Daphnia pulex: one gene and its partners. The protein of the gene in region 3 interacts with the protein of the main gene of each other region in a biochemical or structural test. Links are inferred from orthologs where the notes say so. Each region holds a gene or a part of one and is shown on either strand. Other genes may lie near its edges.

The links. The genes of interacting proteins can lie anywhere in the genome.
Region 1: of the proteins of serine/threonine-protein kinase ATR-like (region 3) and ovarian-specific serine/threonine-protein kinase Lok-like, one has a biochemical effect on the other in vitro, tested with the Homo sapiens proteins (2 studies listed by BioGRID). The link is inferred for Daphnia pulex from reciprocal best matches to the Homo sapiens genes ATR and CHEK2.
Region 2: the proteins of serine/threonine-protein kinase ATR-like (region 3) and replication protein A 70 kDa DNA-binding subunit-like form a complex in vitro, tested with the Homo sapiens proteins (2 studies listed by BioGRID, with this or other methods). The link is inferred for Daphnia pulex from reciprocal best matches to the Homo sapiens genes ATR and RPA1.

What each region holds. Positions count from the first base shown.
Region 1 is NC_060027.1:1,227,258-1,232,690, forward strand, and holds the start of ovarian-specific serine/threonine-protein kinase Lok-like, read right to left. Parts: upstream 3,220-5,433; 5' UTR 3,218-3,219; coding exon 3,087-3,217; intron 3,021-3,086; coding exon 2,664-3,020; intron 2,606-2,663; coding exon 2,431-2,605; intron 2,369-2,430; coding exon 2,132-2,368; intron 2,054-2,131; coding exon 1,831-2,053; intron 1,752-1,830; coding exon 1,471-1,751; 3' UTR 603-1,470; intron 200-602; exon of another isoform or gene 173-199; 3' UTR 16-172; intron 1-15. Other genes in the region: RNA exonuclease 1 homolog, read left to right, coding at 3,690-3,825, 3,892-5,183, 5,249-5,433. UniProt on the Homo sapiens protein: Serine/threonine-protein kinase which is required for checkpoint-mediated cell cycle arrest, activation of DNA repair and apoptosis in response to the presence of DNA double-strand breaks.
Region 2 is NC_060017.1:3,019,187-3,024,727, forward strand, and holds replication protein A 70 kDa DNA-binding subunit-like, read right to left. Parts: upstream 3,220-5,541; 5' UTR 3,096-3,219; coding exon 3,051-3,095; intron 2,989-3,050; coding exon 2,938-2,988; intron 2,874-2,937; coding exon 2,619-2,873; intron 2,549-2,618; coding exon 2,334-2,548; intron 2,272-2,333; coding exon 2,109-2,271; intron 2,047-2,108; coding exon 1,942-2,046; intron 1,876-1,941; coding exon 1,776-1,875; intron 1,692-1,775; coding exon 1,579-1,691; intron 1,512-1,578; coding exon 1,377-1,511; intron 1,317-1,376; coding exon 1,053-1,316; intron 995-1,052; coding exon 911-994; intron 849-910; coding exon 779-848; intron 711-778; coding exon 586-710; intron 522-585; coding exon 414-521; 3' UTR 234-413; downstream 1-233. Other genes in the region: ubiquitin-conjugating enzyme E2 L3, read left to right, coding at 1-19; ankyrin repeat and MYND domain-containing protein 2-like, read left to right, coding at 3,524-3,706, 3,770-3,935, 4,004-4,143, 4,230-4,886. UniProt on the Homo sapiens protein: As part of the heterotrimeric replication protein A complex (RPA/RP-A), binds and stabilizes single-stranded DNA intermediates that form during DNA replication or upon DNA stress.
Region 3 is NC_060021.1:4,777,675-4,781,360, forward strand, and holds the end of serine/threonine-protein kinase ATR-like, read right to left. Parts: coding exon 2,622-3,686; intron 2,560-2,621; coding exon 2,291-2,559; intron 2,228-2,290; coding exon 2,003-2,227; intron 1,927-2,002; coding exon 1,679-1,926; intron 1,616-1,678; coding exon 1,464-1,615; intron 1,386-1,463; coding exon 1,358-1,385; 3' UTR 1,227-1,357; downstream 1-1,226. UniProt on the Homo sapiens protein: Serine/threonine protein kinase which activates checkpoint signaling upon genotoxic stresses such as ionizing radiation (IR), ultraviolet light (UV), or DNA replication stalling, thereby acting as a DNA damage sensor.

The DNA.
Region 1 (5,433 bases), on a different chromosome or scaffold from region 3:
ATAATGAGCACTTACCACACTGAAAACGGCGACCAGATATTTGGGTTTTCGATTTGTCGTCGTTGTCGTCGTCAATTCTGTAGCTGTTGGCTTCACCGGTTTCCCGCTCACGATCGTCATGGTCTTGATGTCGGATGTGGAATGATTGGTAGGAAACATCGACTGCCGGCTTCTATAGGCGAGAAACTTGCGTTCGTATCTTTATACGACAAAACAAAGGTGCAATGAGTCAGCCAAAATAGGAAACAACAACAACACAGCGAGAGGGTCCACAGTTCACGTCGTGGGTGGAATTTCGTTCCCCATCGGAAAATTTTTAAGCTCCGGCACGACACTTCCGGGCACACTGAGTCACCAGCACGCGAGAGAGATTTCTATGTGAATCAACCCGCGACCGAATAACACGCGATGTGCACGGCAAACCAAACCGAACAAATCAAATCCTTAACTCATTTTCGGGAGTAGACATATGATTGTCTTATAAATTATTAAATGAGATAATGAAAGGATGTGAATCATTGGTTTGAATAGCTTTTTAAACAGAAAAACGATTCGCCAAAAATTATTTTAAAAGTTGCAATCAAAATTGAATTATCACTTACCGGCGTGAATTGAAATTGTCACGAATAGATTTTTTAAAAACTCCGTCACCGGGAGTGGTGTGCTTGAAAAGACTGTTGGAGGTCGAATGGATCGTGTCGTCCATCAGACGCTCTCTTTATTTCTTCCTTTGAAAGAGAAACACAAAAAGTATCAATAAGAAGAAGGAAACAAAAAACCTGTTCTTTCATGGGCGCTCCAGGACAAAGGGGAAGACCCTGGAGAGGGGTTCACATATTTCTGCAGGTATGAAGAAGAAGAAGAGATAAACGAGGCAGAGCTGGCTGGAGGATATCAGCCTCGAAGGCTTTTTAAGGGTATCGTGAGAAGAAAAACTTTCTTTTTGACAGCAGGATACTCATACATATAGCGCCCACTGGTTGCCTTCCCTTCCATCAATCTTACCTAAAACTCGCCCACCCGTTTTCTAAGCTTTCACTATTTACCAGGGGATTTCGTCACTAGTTCCGGAAAATTTCTCAGAAATACCAAAAACAGTTCACCCGATCAATAATTGTTCTACAGGGATTTCCGTCTAATCCTTTCAAACTGCTACGGTCAGACATTTTTTAAAAACAAGGTTTAGTAATACTGAGTTCTTTTTTATTCGTTTATCCTTTACCGGCAGCAAAAAAGACACAAAAATAAAAAAAAATTAACCTGACTGGATTGTTATGCATGAAAACTTTCGAAAGGCCATGTCCAACTAATTAACACGGGGGGCAAACTGAGGGGAAGGCGTTTTTAAATATACAACTGCTTAATGAAGAGATCGTATTGAGAACAAGAAGGAAAAAAAAAATAGCCAACTGTTGAGAAAATAATCGGACCACAGCCTCTCTGGAGAAAATAATAAAGAAATTTTTCTTATTAGGGAGTTACCCGCCGTCGTTTCGGCACAGGTTCATCAATAGACTCGTTTTCTTGGATGCAACTGAGTAAAGAGTCGGGGAGCTTTTCGACGGTACTTGTATCAGCAAAGACGATTTCATTCACCCTGCTGACCACTTGGCTGTCTTTCATCCATGGGTCTTCCAGGATATCCTCTAATGTAGGTCGTTTGTTGGGGTCAACTTCCAGCATTTGCTTGACCAATGCCAATCCTTCAGCCGATACTGAACTCCAATTTGGTTTTTTCAATAGAAAATGACCTGGGTCAAAAATGCCGGGATCAGTAAAAAGAAAAAAGGGCGGAAAACAAAATTCTTGATAAGAAAAGGAGAAATGAACCTTTGGCAATATTAGCATCAGTCGAGTGTGAATGAATGAATGGGTGGTACCCGGATAACAGAATGAACAGGATCACCCCTAGGCTCCAGACATCGACCGCTGACGTATATGGTTTGTAAGTCCTATCCCGGGCCACTTCCGGTGCTAGATACAGCGGTGTACCACAGTAGGTCTGGCATACGGTCTCTTCATCCACAAACTTGGAAAGACCAAAATCTGAGATCTATAATTTAAAAAAAGGGAAAGTAAAGTTGCGTCAATAATGTGCGCACGCTGCGAGAAAGCGATTGAGAAATAATACTTTGAGAATGGCGTTTTCGTTTTGACTAGACATCAGGATGTTTTCCGGCTTGAGATCCCGGTGAACTACTCCTTGCTGGTGAAGATATTTTACAGCCAATACCAACTGCATAAAATAGTATTTTGCTGTAGATTCTTCCATCTGACCCACATCTTTAATACGTTTCTGCAAGTCCCCTCCGTTCATCAATTCTAATACGAGGTGTATCGATTTGGGTTTACAAATGCTGTCTTCAACCTAATTTTTCATGCAGAGCTTTCATTACTATTACAATTAACCATGATGAGATGATGAGATACCTTAACAATGCCAGGATGTTCCAGCGTACAGAGCAATTCCGATTCGTTCTTCAGTTGTTGTATAGCCTCGTTGCGTTTCAACTCGTTAAAACCATTTGGTTGACGTCGTACGCTTTTGATGGCATATTTTTTGTTTGTCTTTTTGTGAACAGACAACCATACCTCCCCAAATGATCTGCAGAAAATAAACAGCGTAAAACAAAAGAATATTTATGCATTAAACAAATAATTACCCTTTTCCAAGATTCTCAACAATGACAAATTTCTTGTTGATGTCGGTAGGAAAGCCAGGATTCCTGTGCTGTGTGTCCAAGTAGGTAAAGACTTTGCCTTTCGAACAGGTCATGGCAATTACATCACCATTGGCAAGAAGCTTATTCTTTCCTTTCCCGATTCTAACACCATTTACGAATGTTCCATTTGCTGAGTAATCTTCTAAGATTGTCTGATAATCAGCTGTCATATCCCTAATTCTCCTGAAACCACACTGTACTCGACTAAGATTATCAATTTTGATTTTAGTAATTTCTTGATGGATGACGATATCACACGCGACATGACGACCAACAGTGTACAAATCTTTGCCATGCCTGACAATAATAAAAAAATTCCCAATTTAATTCACAAAACACTGAAACAAAAAAATAAAATCATACCTTAGCCTTTCAGTGTCCAGATCACGATCAGAGGCCCAAAATAATAATCCCCACGAGGTGGATTCAGTCGGCGCTACATTTTCCGTATCTTCGTCAGTGTTCTGCGACAAGGGTTGCGTGTCTTTGTCCATCTTTAAACAGATGATATAACCAGTTGTGAAAACCCTTGTCACACATCTAACATAAGAAACTTGGTGAAATATACGATCACCACGTTTGAAATTTTTTATTTGAACGTAGTCTGTAATATGTCCTTGAATCACTGTTCTGAGACTAAATTTTTTTTTTCACAACAAGACGTTGTCAATTTTTCAATTCAAGGCATTTTGGTCGAGACTTAACCTTGACTTTTTTAAATGGCTTAAAATTTTGATAAAAAATTATAGATCTCTTTCCCAAATTATTTATCTTAATTTAATCATCTTTTATGTCAATTCGTTAAAAAATAATCAAAAATCCGGATATTATTGTTTGACCGACCATTAGAGCCTCCCCTTTGTAGAAGGGCATTGGTTTTTCATTATTGTCATTTTTTTTCTTAATTAATCGTCTTCAATTGAAGATTGGAGATTTATCGCAAATTAATATTGACTGTGGGGAAGCATGCTTCCGTCAGTTGGATACTTCAAAAGTATCGTCTGTCCTTATTTCGAAAATGAGTCGTGTGAGAGGCCACATTGTCAATTCCGACACGAACACTTGCCTGTTCGAGCACCTAAACCAACTGTGGTCCTCAGAAGTATGCATGTTTTTGTCTATTATGCAACACAAAAGAGCAATACTAACTGCTTTTATACCTTTGCAGCTCATGATCCTGGCCCATCTCAAGGATCTCAAGAAGGAGAAAATTCTTCGTCAATCGAGCAGATAGTGTCTGAAGCTGTCAAACGGGTCCTAAAGGAAAATGGACAGCTTTTGGAGAATTTTGATGCCTCCAAAATTATGGAACTTGTTGGCCAGCAGAAGCTGGTTGAGAAGGTTGTGGAACATCTTGCCCCTCCTGTCAGTCCCAAGAAAGTTGAAGGAAATCCTAGAGAATCTAGCCATAAAAGCAAAAGTCACAAATCCTACAACATACCTGTCGGAACCCCCGCCTATACTCCTACGCCCATTGCTGTTCTCAAGAAAGGCATAACAACCCCTTCGAAAGTGGAAAATTATGAACCCACAAAACCATCTTCTGGACGGGTAGCCACTTACAAACCCAGCAGTAAGGTTGCTGCCAAATCAGAAGAGACCTATACACCATCCACTTTGGAAAGCACTTCAATCCCGTCTAGAGTAGATAATTATGTGCCTAGAAACTCATCCACTAGTTCAACTGCCACCTACAAGCCTAGCAAAGTCGTCTCAATTAAAACAGAAGAAGGTTACACCCCTCCCTCCACGTTAGAAAACACTCCCGACGTCAACTACACACCGAGTAGTAGGGATTCAGATAACATCATCAGTGATCGCTACACCCCTCCGTCCAATTTGAACTGCGACGTCGACTACCAGCCAACCACTCGAGAATTGAGCTCTGTTGAACCGTCGTATTCTCCCAGTTGTTCAACATTCGAATCTGGAATCGCCGATTACTCGCCCAGCTCTATCTCGACTCTATCCACCGAGCCGAGTTACAGTCCAGCACCGACCAGTAGCAGCGTTTCGTTCGAAGTTGACTACACGCCCAGCTCTTTGGCCAGCGGCCAGCAGCTGACACCTGAAAAATACCTCGAACTTTTCGAAGATGCGGAAGAGGCCAGCGAGTCCGAGTCGAAGAAGAAACACCGAAAGACCAAAGAGGAGGAAAGGCGGAAAAGGGAAAAGGAGAAAGAGCGTGAAAGAGAAAAGGAACGACGCCGGCGGAAAGAGAAGGAAAGAGAAAGGGAAAAGGAAAAGAAGAAAAGTAGTCGTTCAAGTTCAGATCAAGATTCCAAATCAAAACATTCAAGCAATAAAAAATCGGGTAGTTCCAGTTCCAGTCCCAAGAAGAGCAAATCTTCAGAATCTAAAAAATCCGAGTCTAAATCTGAAGAATCTAAGTCATCTAAACACGATGTGGAAATGGAGTCGGACTCTGACGTGGACGAAGAGTGCTACCGAATATTCAAGGTAAGATTTAAAAAATTGTGTACGTAAAACTCGTTTAGGTTTTAATTACTGCCCAATTTATTTAGGAATACAAACCGAGTGCAACTAGCAGCAGCAACGGACAAGCTGACGATCACAAGAAGCGGAAATCGGAAGATGTGCCTCCCGTTTCAGAGGCGATTATTCCCGTGAAGAAGCAGCGGGTAGCTCATACTCATGTCGACGCTCCAGTCCGACCGTCCAGCCTTGTTCGTGCCAAACCTGCACGCCT
Region 2 (5,541 bases), on a different chromosome or scaffold from region 3:
GAAGAGACCAAGTGATTAAATGTTTTCTGTTTTCATCATAAACACTTGAGAAGAGGCAGAGTTAAAATTTTGAACTGGTCCCCCCTCTTTCCCTCTTCACTTCATTGTAGAGCAGTGAGAGCTGCACTGTGATCTTCATTTATTTTCATTTCTATCTTTGCCTCTCTTGATGGTTGAAATATTTCATTGCACATGAGCTGCGAAAAACAATACATTTGCAGTTGTCTGAAAAATTATTTTTTGTAATATCCATGTTTATTTTGCAAATCATTTATTATCATGTTACACACACGGTTTTTCCGGGATCTCGATTTGATTCACAAGAACAGGAATTCATAAAGAATTGTTCCTGTATAATCCGAAAATGAAGGTTTTTTATAAGTTTAATAGATAAGGAGCAAGGGAAAATCCATTCATTCTGATGCAGCCATTTCTTTCATTTCTCGAATCAATCGCTCGTTGTGCTCTTTATAGTTGATTTCCTTCACTTCATAGACATTTGTTTTGAGGCGGCTTTCATCCTAAAGAAAAGGTAAAAGCGTCAACAGATAACAAGATCGAAATTCATAATGCTCATAGACTTACATTGTACGTCTCCATTTTCACTCTCAGGCGGAAGACATACCACTTAAAAGTAGCTTCTTCGAAAATTTTCTGAAATTCGTTATTATCCGAATCCTTCAATCTACCGACCTCGTCTGCGGATTTCCCTAAAATTTATAATCAAATAAATAAATATTATATGCTAAACGTAACATTAGTTCGAAAACAAAATTACCAAGAAGAGTTTCAGCGGTTTCTTGGAAGCAGGTTACCCATTGCTGGTCCGTGGCATCCGCGATATTGACCTATAACAAATTTCGAGTGCTGTTTTGAGAGAAATAGATTTCATAAAATATCTTTGTCATACCGAAAGCATCATGCGCCATTTGAATTCCTGGAATTCGCGCTGGCATTTCTCACATCGATAGAGGCCATTGTTTTGATCGATGACCTGCGGGAAACGCAAATATTGTCAAAAATGAGTTGTTTTATTATATATTTATGTTTACCTTTTTGTTGCATTCATCACTGGGACAAGCCATGTACAACGCTCTTTCTTTGTTGATCATAGCAACCATAGCCTTAACACTGTAGAAATCAGGTTTATCTTTTCCCAGGTTTTCGAATTTTGCTTCAGCGAAAGTCTTATACGACCCACCACTACCACCAGTGCCAGCGCCACGACTCGCCGAAATGCTAGAAGCGGCCGATGATGAGCCACCGTTATCGTACCACCCTCTTAGTTTGTGAGCTTCATTCATGTCAGGATTGATCTATTAAAAATATGCGCTGTAGAATAGTAGAGAAATAGAAAGTCTTACATTTGATTTTACCTGCACGACAGTAGACGAGACTGTTCCTAGAGAACGACCTCCAAAATCAGAAAGTTTCACTCCTTTTAATGCTACAACAGGCTGGGAGCTAGCGTCAAATTCCTCGCCCATTTTTCCCCATAAAGTCAAATTAACCTGATGTTTGAAGACAAGAATGATTAATTAACTGGGCTCGACAATTAAACGAAGAATCCAGTCATACCTCTGTGTTGGTACTGTCCACCATCTGAACTTCTCGCATCCTCAATTCTTTATTTGTCGTTTTGGAAACGATAACGCGGACGTCATTTGCTGACTTAACCACACCAATGACATCTGAAAGCACGGTCAATCGGTCATATCGTAGGCACCATTCAAATAGAAGAATTGTAATGTTAATGCACCTAAAAGACAACTTACCAATAACACTGTCCTTGTCCAGGCTAGGTAGCTGATCAATGGGAACAAAGTTGAAGGAGATTGATGGGATATCTGATGTATCATCGTGGCAAGGAATTACCTAAAAAATAAGTAAAAGAAAAAAAAATTGAGGCTGGTACGATTGACGATTGAAAAACATTCATACTGTAGTATTTTGGTTGAACGACATTTCATAATCGTTCCTCATACTGCTGTACTGTTTGTTTGCTGCCTTCAGTTGTGCTTGTGAAATGTAAAAGATCTTGCCGATCTACAACGAAAAATAACAATGTAAATAAATAACTTCAAACACTGTTTTTGAATTAAATGTACCTCAATCATGTGGTAAAACTTGTCACACTCGGCATTGAATGCAGTGGCACGGATTTCACCAGTCTCATCCACCATGTCCATCGAGAAAAGCTTTCCTTCACCTCGAGAATTGCTCCACGTACGGATATCGGACTTGTTTATAATTCTCACTTTTACAGTCCACCTACAAACAAGCAAAGTTAATGATTCAATTTTTCTTGTACTGAAATTTCTCAACAAACATACTTGTTTTGGTAGGGTGTAAGGCTTACAATCGGATGGGTAATAATGTCAGACTTCTCTGTTGGCTGTCCATATCCACCAGTTTTGTTAGGTGGTGCAGACTTCGATCCCATATTGTAATTGTTCACATTTCCTAAAGGTGCAGGTTTTGCTGCTGCCTCTTCAGTAACCTCTCCAACATCATTAAGAGTCTGAGGGTTTCCTATTTTTTCTCCAACCTAAACAAAAAATGTTCAAAATGAAGAGATATCCTTATTTGTATTTCGAAACTAAGTAAAGTGAACATACTTCACTTCCAGGCACAATTGGCTCAACATCCAAAAGAATGATAATTTTCTTTTGGTCCTTGCCTGCAGTTGCCTTAGTAGCAACTTTGTTAACAACAAACTTTTTTACTCTAATGATGGTAAAGTTCTCAAGCTGACCATCCACAATCAGATGATTTAGTTGTGTTGCCAACATTCCATATGCATAGGAATACTTTCCATCAGAGATGAGAATTCTGTAACGGTCATTATTGTCTCCCTGAAGATTTTTGTAACCCTATTGTAAGAGAAGAAAATGTAAAAATGCTGCAAATGAAGAAAAAATCTTGCTCGTTGCTTACCAAAACTTGTAGAATTGGAGTTTCATTGTGCAGGCCATTCCCAATGATGGACTATGTCGAAATAAAGATATTTATAGTTTTATTCAAAAATTCGAAATTATGATTGATATTACCGGAATTGCGCCGCTGGTTAGTGCTGGGTGATTTCTTCTGTTCATTTTACGGAACCTTTTTTAACGGGGATTACTTCGTTCAGTCAACGTGCTTGAATTTTTTTAAGCAGTTTTTACGGACAAGACGACGAAGTGCGATGGCGGGAAAACAACAGTGGTACAAACGAAACCAAGGCTGAACGTGCAGCGTTGAATGTTTAAGAAACTTTTTAACTCAATGAAGACCACTAAAAATATAAAGAAGAAAAATAATGAAAAAGTTTTTTTTCTGAAATAAAGGTTCATACGAAGCAAAAATAAGTTTTCGTTTTATTCGCATTTTTGGCGTTGTTGGATTTTTTGTTTTTCGAAATGTCCGGTTGTTATAGCAACAGTTGCAGACGACAACGGAAACTATATCGTTATATGAAAATTTGTGACTGAATTATTTGATTTCCTTCAAAAACGAGTTAATTGCCAAAGAATCTCGAAAAATGATTTCGGAAAACTTTATTAAAGCTATTGACAAGATTAACAACAATGATACTAGTGGTTTGCAAGAACTTATAAAATCCCGGGACGTTGAAATTGACGATGAGGATGAGCATGGAATGACATTACTGCAACATGCCGCTTTTAAAGGGAAAAAAGATATTTGCCAGTTGCTCCTTGACCTGGTAAGTCTAACTATATTATCAATGTTGTTAATTTGATTGAAAAGTTGACTTTTTTTCTCGAAGGGAGCTGATGCCAATGGAGGTCATCATGAACACAAGTATACTTCCCTTCATTTTGCAGCTCTGTCTGGAAATTTGGATATTTGTCAACAATTACTTCAGTGTGGTTGTAAACCTGATGTGGTTAACTCAGTAGGCAGAACTGCAGCTCAAATGGCTGCATTTGTAGGTAGGCTAGTCAATCATAATGTTTGTACAAATCATCCAAAACTAAAATGAATTATTTTGGCAAACCAGGGAATCACACAGTTGTTTCCATCATCAACAATTTCATTCCACGCTCAGAAATAGAGCAGTACACTGTAGCTCCTAGCGATCAAACTGAGCCAAAATTGCCACCAGCTGCTGCACCAGCTTTGCACAAATTTGTGATGCAGGTTGTGCACTTGAATAGACACATCACTTCATTTCTTATTCTGCCACGGAAAAGCACTTGAACTTTTTGTTTTGTTTGATTTATCAGGTCAATCTGCATCCAGTTCACCTTTTGTTGACTATTCAAAAACTTCCTTTGCTTTACGATAACCTCACAAAAGTGAAAAACGTCTTGGAGATACTTAGCGAAAATCAGATGAAGCGCAGCCAAGAAGTCAACGAGATCCTCGCACTTAAATACCACTATTTGCGTTTCCTAGTCGAAAGAATGGCCAAAGAGCAGCAGCAGCACCCCGACAAAACCGTTTTGGAGTTATTAAATCAATATGTTAAAGCATTTTTGAAGCAACGTCAATCCGATGGTTTTCCCGAGTTTATGGACAACTTCATCCGCGAGTCGATCCGCACTTTCCCTTTCAAGGAGACGACCATCTTCCGCCAGTTGCTGGTCAATCTGTCCAAGACAAAAGAGGAGACTCCACTAGCTCTCAATCTTCTCACTTCCTGCATCAACGGTCAGCGTGGATTTCAAGATGACGACGCCTGTGCCACTTGCGGCCAAGAGAAGGTAGCCAGCAAGTGTTCCATATGCAAATCTGTGCAATATTGCAACCGCGATTGTCAAAAGTTGCACTGGTCTATCCACAAAAAGGAGTGCGACAAGTTGGCCAAGCAATTTAAAAATTTGGAAATTAAATCTCAAGACTCCGAGGCGAAGGCTGCCGATCCGGAAACCAGCAAATAGAAATTTTGATTATGTGGGGGTTTTTGCATGATCGAATTCGATGTATGTTCACCCCGTACGTTTCCTTTTTAATCTACAATTGTCTACAGCGGACCCCTGTTTGCTTCCATATTTAGCTAACCTATTCAGTTGTCCAGTCTTTTACACTGTACGTGCGGTCCCATTGTTTTTATATCGTGAAAAATCTGCTTTGAATGGCCCCCATGTTATCGTCGCATTCATCCCACACAAATACAAACCTTGTCATGCCTCATTTCTAGTGTATTTCTTTTCTTAGACTAAAAAACCAGCCACTAGATGGACATTGTTCTCTTGTGGCCCTCCTCATCCACATATTGCTACACTAAATCTTCAAATGTCTACCCTTCACTAAGAAATATTTCCCTCTCACCTCAAAACAAGGAAATACAAATTACGCGAAACCAATCGCTGGTTTTTAATCGACGAATGATAATTGAAAACTTGTTGTAAGAATTTATCGTATAGTTTAAAGAAGACAATAAGTGAGCCAGGCTGCAATGAATGTAATCTCTTTTTGATAAAACCAACCAAAAGATAAAACTAGCAGCAGGTTTTTATTTCCCCGAATTAAGTGTCGTTGGTTTTGCGCGAATCGGTTTCAAAAAATGCCCGAAAAAAATGGAACTCGAGAGCC
Region 3 (3,686 bases):
CTCGTCAACTGCTGCACCAAACAAAATCTAATTGTTTTAAAATAATGGGATAGCCCATCTCTTTAAATAATTTTCATGTTTTTTCGATACTCGGTTTAGAAGCCGAGTTATTAATAATTGAAATTTTTGAAAAATTCCCCCAAATTTATTCGTTTTTTCGCCATACAGGCCTTCACCCCATAAGCCACCTAGCGCTGGCGATAATAACAAAATTTCCCCCTCTTTGCCTTTAGGGATTAACAGCTTCAAGATGATGGACAAATCAAAATGTATGATGTGATGTAATCAAGGGGTCCGGCAGTGCAGAGGGGAATGGTGGCAATGAGTAAAAATCAAAAATTTTTCGTGTCTGAATTAAAACTTGCTATCCCCGCCACGCGTTAAACGTCGAAATCCGGTTTTTTTCCCTGTTTTTTGACGCGCTTAGTACTTTATTTTTTTTTTAAGCTTCGTCACTTAAACAGCTTGTTAAGGACGTAAAGATTAACATTTGAGCCAAAAATTATCCCATTATGTATTGATTTACTATCCCCGCCATGCATCGAACTTTTGCTATGCGCTGTAGCTGGTAAACCAAAAAATTTGTTTTTTGGCCGAAATACGTATATAACATAAGGAACTTAACAGTAATGTTAAAATAATAGACACAATAGATGCTCACGTTTAAAATATATTAAAATTCCATTTCTGAAGGTCGCTTGCTAACATTTAGTTTTTTTGTGTTTTCCCTTTCGTTTAAGCAAACGCGATATTATTGCGATACGAAAATTAACAATAAATTTCAATATTTTTAAGATATCTTTTAAATGAGCTTTAATTGTATCTATTATTTTAACATTACTTAGCAGATGAAAGTTCCTTATGTTATCTATTTCGGCCAGAAAACCCATTTTTAGATTAACCAGCTACAGCGCATATCGAGCGCATAGCAAAAGTTTGATGCATGGCAATACATAATGGGATAATTTTTGGCTCAAATGTTAATCTTTACGTCCTTAACAAGCTGTTTAAGTGACGAAGCTGAAAAAAAAATTAAGTACTAAAAGCGTCAAAAAACAGTGAAAAAAACGGATTTCGAAGTATGCGTGTTGTGGATAGCAAATTTCAATTCAGACACGAAAAAATTTGGATTTTTACTCATTGCTACCATCCTAACCCTAATCCCAAGTTACATGCCAAATTTCAAAAAAGTTGTGGAAATGAAACAGACTATTGCAGACTAAAAATACAATTAATTTCTTTATTCTTTAGGAGGAAGAAAAAATTCGAAAATGAAAGATAAGAACGTATTTGAACTACTTCGCAAATTGAGATAGACGGCAAGTAATAATTGGCTCTCGAATATATAAAATCCATATCACATGTAGGCTGCCCATCCGATATACCTAGAAGACGCAGAAATGATGATGCGATAATTTAACAGTATGCATATAATAACATTTTAAAAACTGTGCACAGCTTACATTTGGCATAAATTGTCCACACTGGTAGCTTCCGCAATCAGCTGATTTACTTGTCCTTCAACAGAGAAACGGTATTTCAATTTATTCTTGGAATTTGGTTGTAGTAAATAACCTTGTAATCTCATTTTAATGTTCTCGACGTGTTCCATGGCCTGAAATAAGAAAATCTATTAAATATAATGCAACAGGTGATGAGAACATAAAGCATTTTAGACCTGTTCGTTTTTTATCTCAGGAAGATCAGAACGACCTTTGTTCACTGTTTTCTTTGACCATTCTACAAGTGGATCATGAACAAACGGCTTCAGCACACTAAGGAGAGTGTCAATCTCTTGTCTTAGTACACGTAGCGTCACTTCGCAGCACTTCCTGAATGACCCTTCAATTCCAGTAGCTCCCATGGCTTCTATCATATTATGAGTAAGACGGAAAGGAACTTGCTCGGGCCATTCAAATGAAAGACCTGAGTTAAAGAAGTAAAAAAAAAATAAAATAAAAATATTATGCCGAGGTGAGAGAAAATCAATCTTGAAAACAACCTTTGTTAAATAAGCAACTAAAATCCACGTGGACTGCATCGCCACAAACTGCATCAAAAAGAATGTTTTCACCGTGTCGGTCACCTAAACCAACGATAAATCCCACCATGGACATGACTGCCGTAGTTCGAACATAACTCAGCCTGGCAGAAAACCAATCTTGTGGATCTGGAAACGTACTCAGGAACCATTCGCTAAACACGGGAGGATACCGTGGCAGGATTTCTGAAAGAACGAAATAGAATTCTAAGACTCAGAGTAAGTTTAAGACAACAACAAATGACAAACCTTTCTCAAACAGTTCTCTCTTCCGAACAATTGTATCTCGAACATGAGGTGTTCTCTTTCTTAACTCAGTATTGCTCATCAGACAACCCCTTTCCTTGTAAATCCGGTTGATAGCAAATCTTAAACCAATCAGATTTGGAATCCATTCAATGAGACCACAATCTTCATTTAAAGGAATTACTCCGTAAGTCCGGATATGCAAATTGCGCTTGCGTGAATCGGGATCTCGTACCAAGTACCGATTTATTAGTTGGTTGAATTCCATTAATCTGCATTATGGTAACTTGTTAAAAAAAAATATATATACAAAATACAGAACAAACAAATTTACCTAAAATCTTTCCGTAAATCGTCCTGTGGTTTACAGAGGAAAACGTATAATTTCCCATCGGATCCACGGATGGATATTTTCTTCGGCTTTTGTAACGAGTGCATCACCTCGACAGTATCTTCCACACCAACAATGTAGACAGGATCTCTAGGAAAAGGATTGTGTTCCAGGTTTTCTCCAGGGGTTGTGGGCAATGTTACCGTCATCATCCACTGCAACGGAACCATGATTTTACTGAATTGTGGTTGACTGAGTAGTTTAGGAAGAGATCTGAATGCTTTTTCCACAGACAAAACCATGATGCCGTCCTCGACAGGTTTGTTGGCCAATTCGACGAGTCTATCAGCCAGATTGGTAGCATCTGCGAAGAAGCTCCTTAAACTGGTTTGGCTAGAAGCCACTACATCAATGATCTCTCGGCAACGCTTGGCCCTGATACTGTACGATGATTTTAACACCGAAATCATCATCCACATACATTGCTGCGTGTGAGCTACAAGTGTTTTAGCGATTATTCGCTTCAGGAGAGCAGCCACCTCTAGATGCGGATGACAAATTCGTGAAATCAACTGGGGAAATGCCGTTAAGAATTTGTAAGCAGGGATCTTCTCTTGTGCACTGTCAATAGCCTTTGTTACGTCGGTCATCTTAGCCTTGGAGTTGCCGATCTTGAAGACTTTGGGATTCTCAGCTTCCATGGTTCCTAATTCCATCCAAAGGGAAAGCATTCGTGGCATCGCCTGATAGATGAATTGGCTTCCGTATATCATTGAGCGACCCAAATTGGTGATAATGTAACGCGCCATATCAAGATGTTGTTCTTTGTTTCCGTCATAACTTGTGTAGAGAACATCGTAATAACCAGCCAACCGGAAAAAACCTTCTTCCCACGTTCTGCTTATTTCCGTCACTTCCTTGTAGTACTTGATAACGGTGTTCATGTCTGCATGGCTAGTCTCTTCATAGTAACGAGCAAGTAAAAGTTTGGCTTTCAAGCACTCAAGAATGTCGGTGGTCAATTTATTAGGTTGGAGTTTAGCAGCTTCCATCTGCAATGCCTGCAAG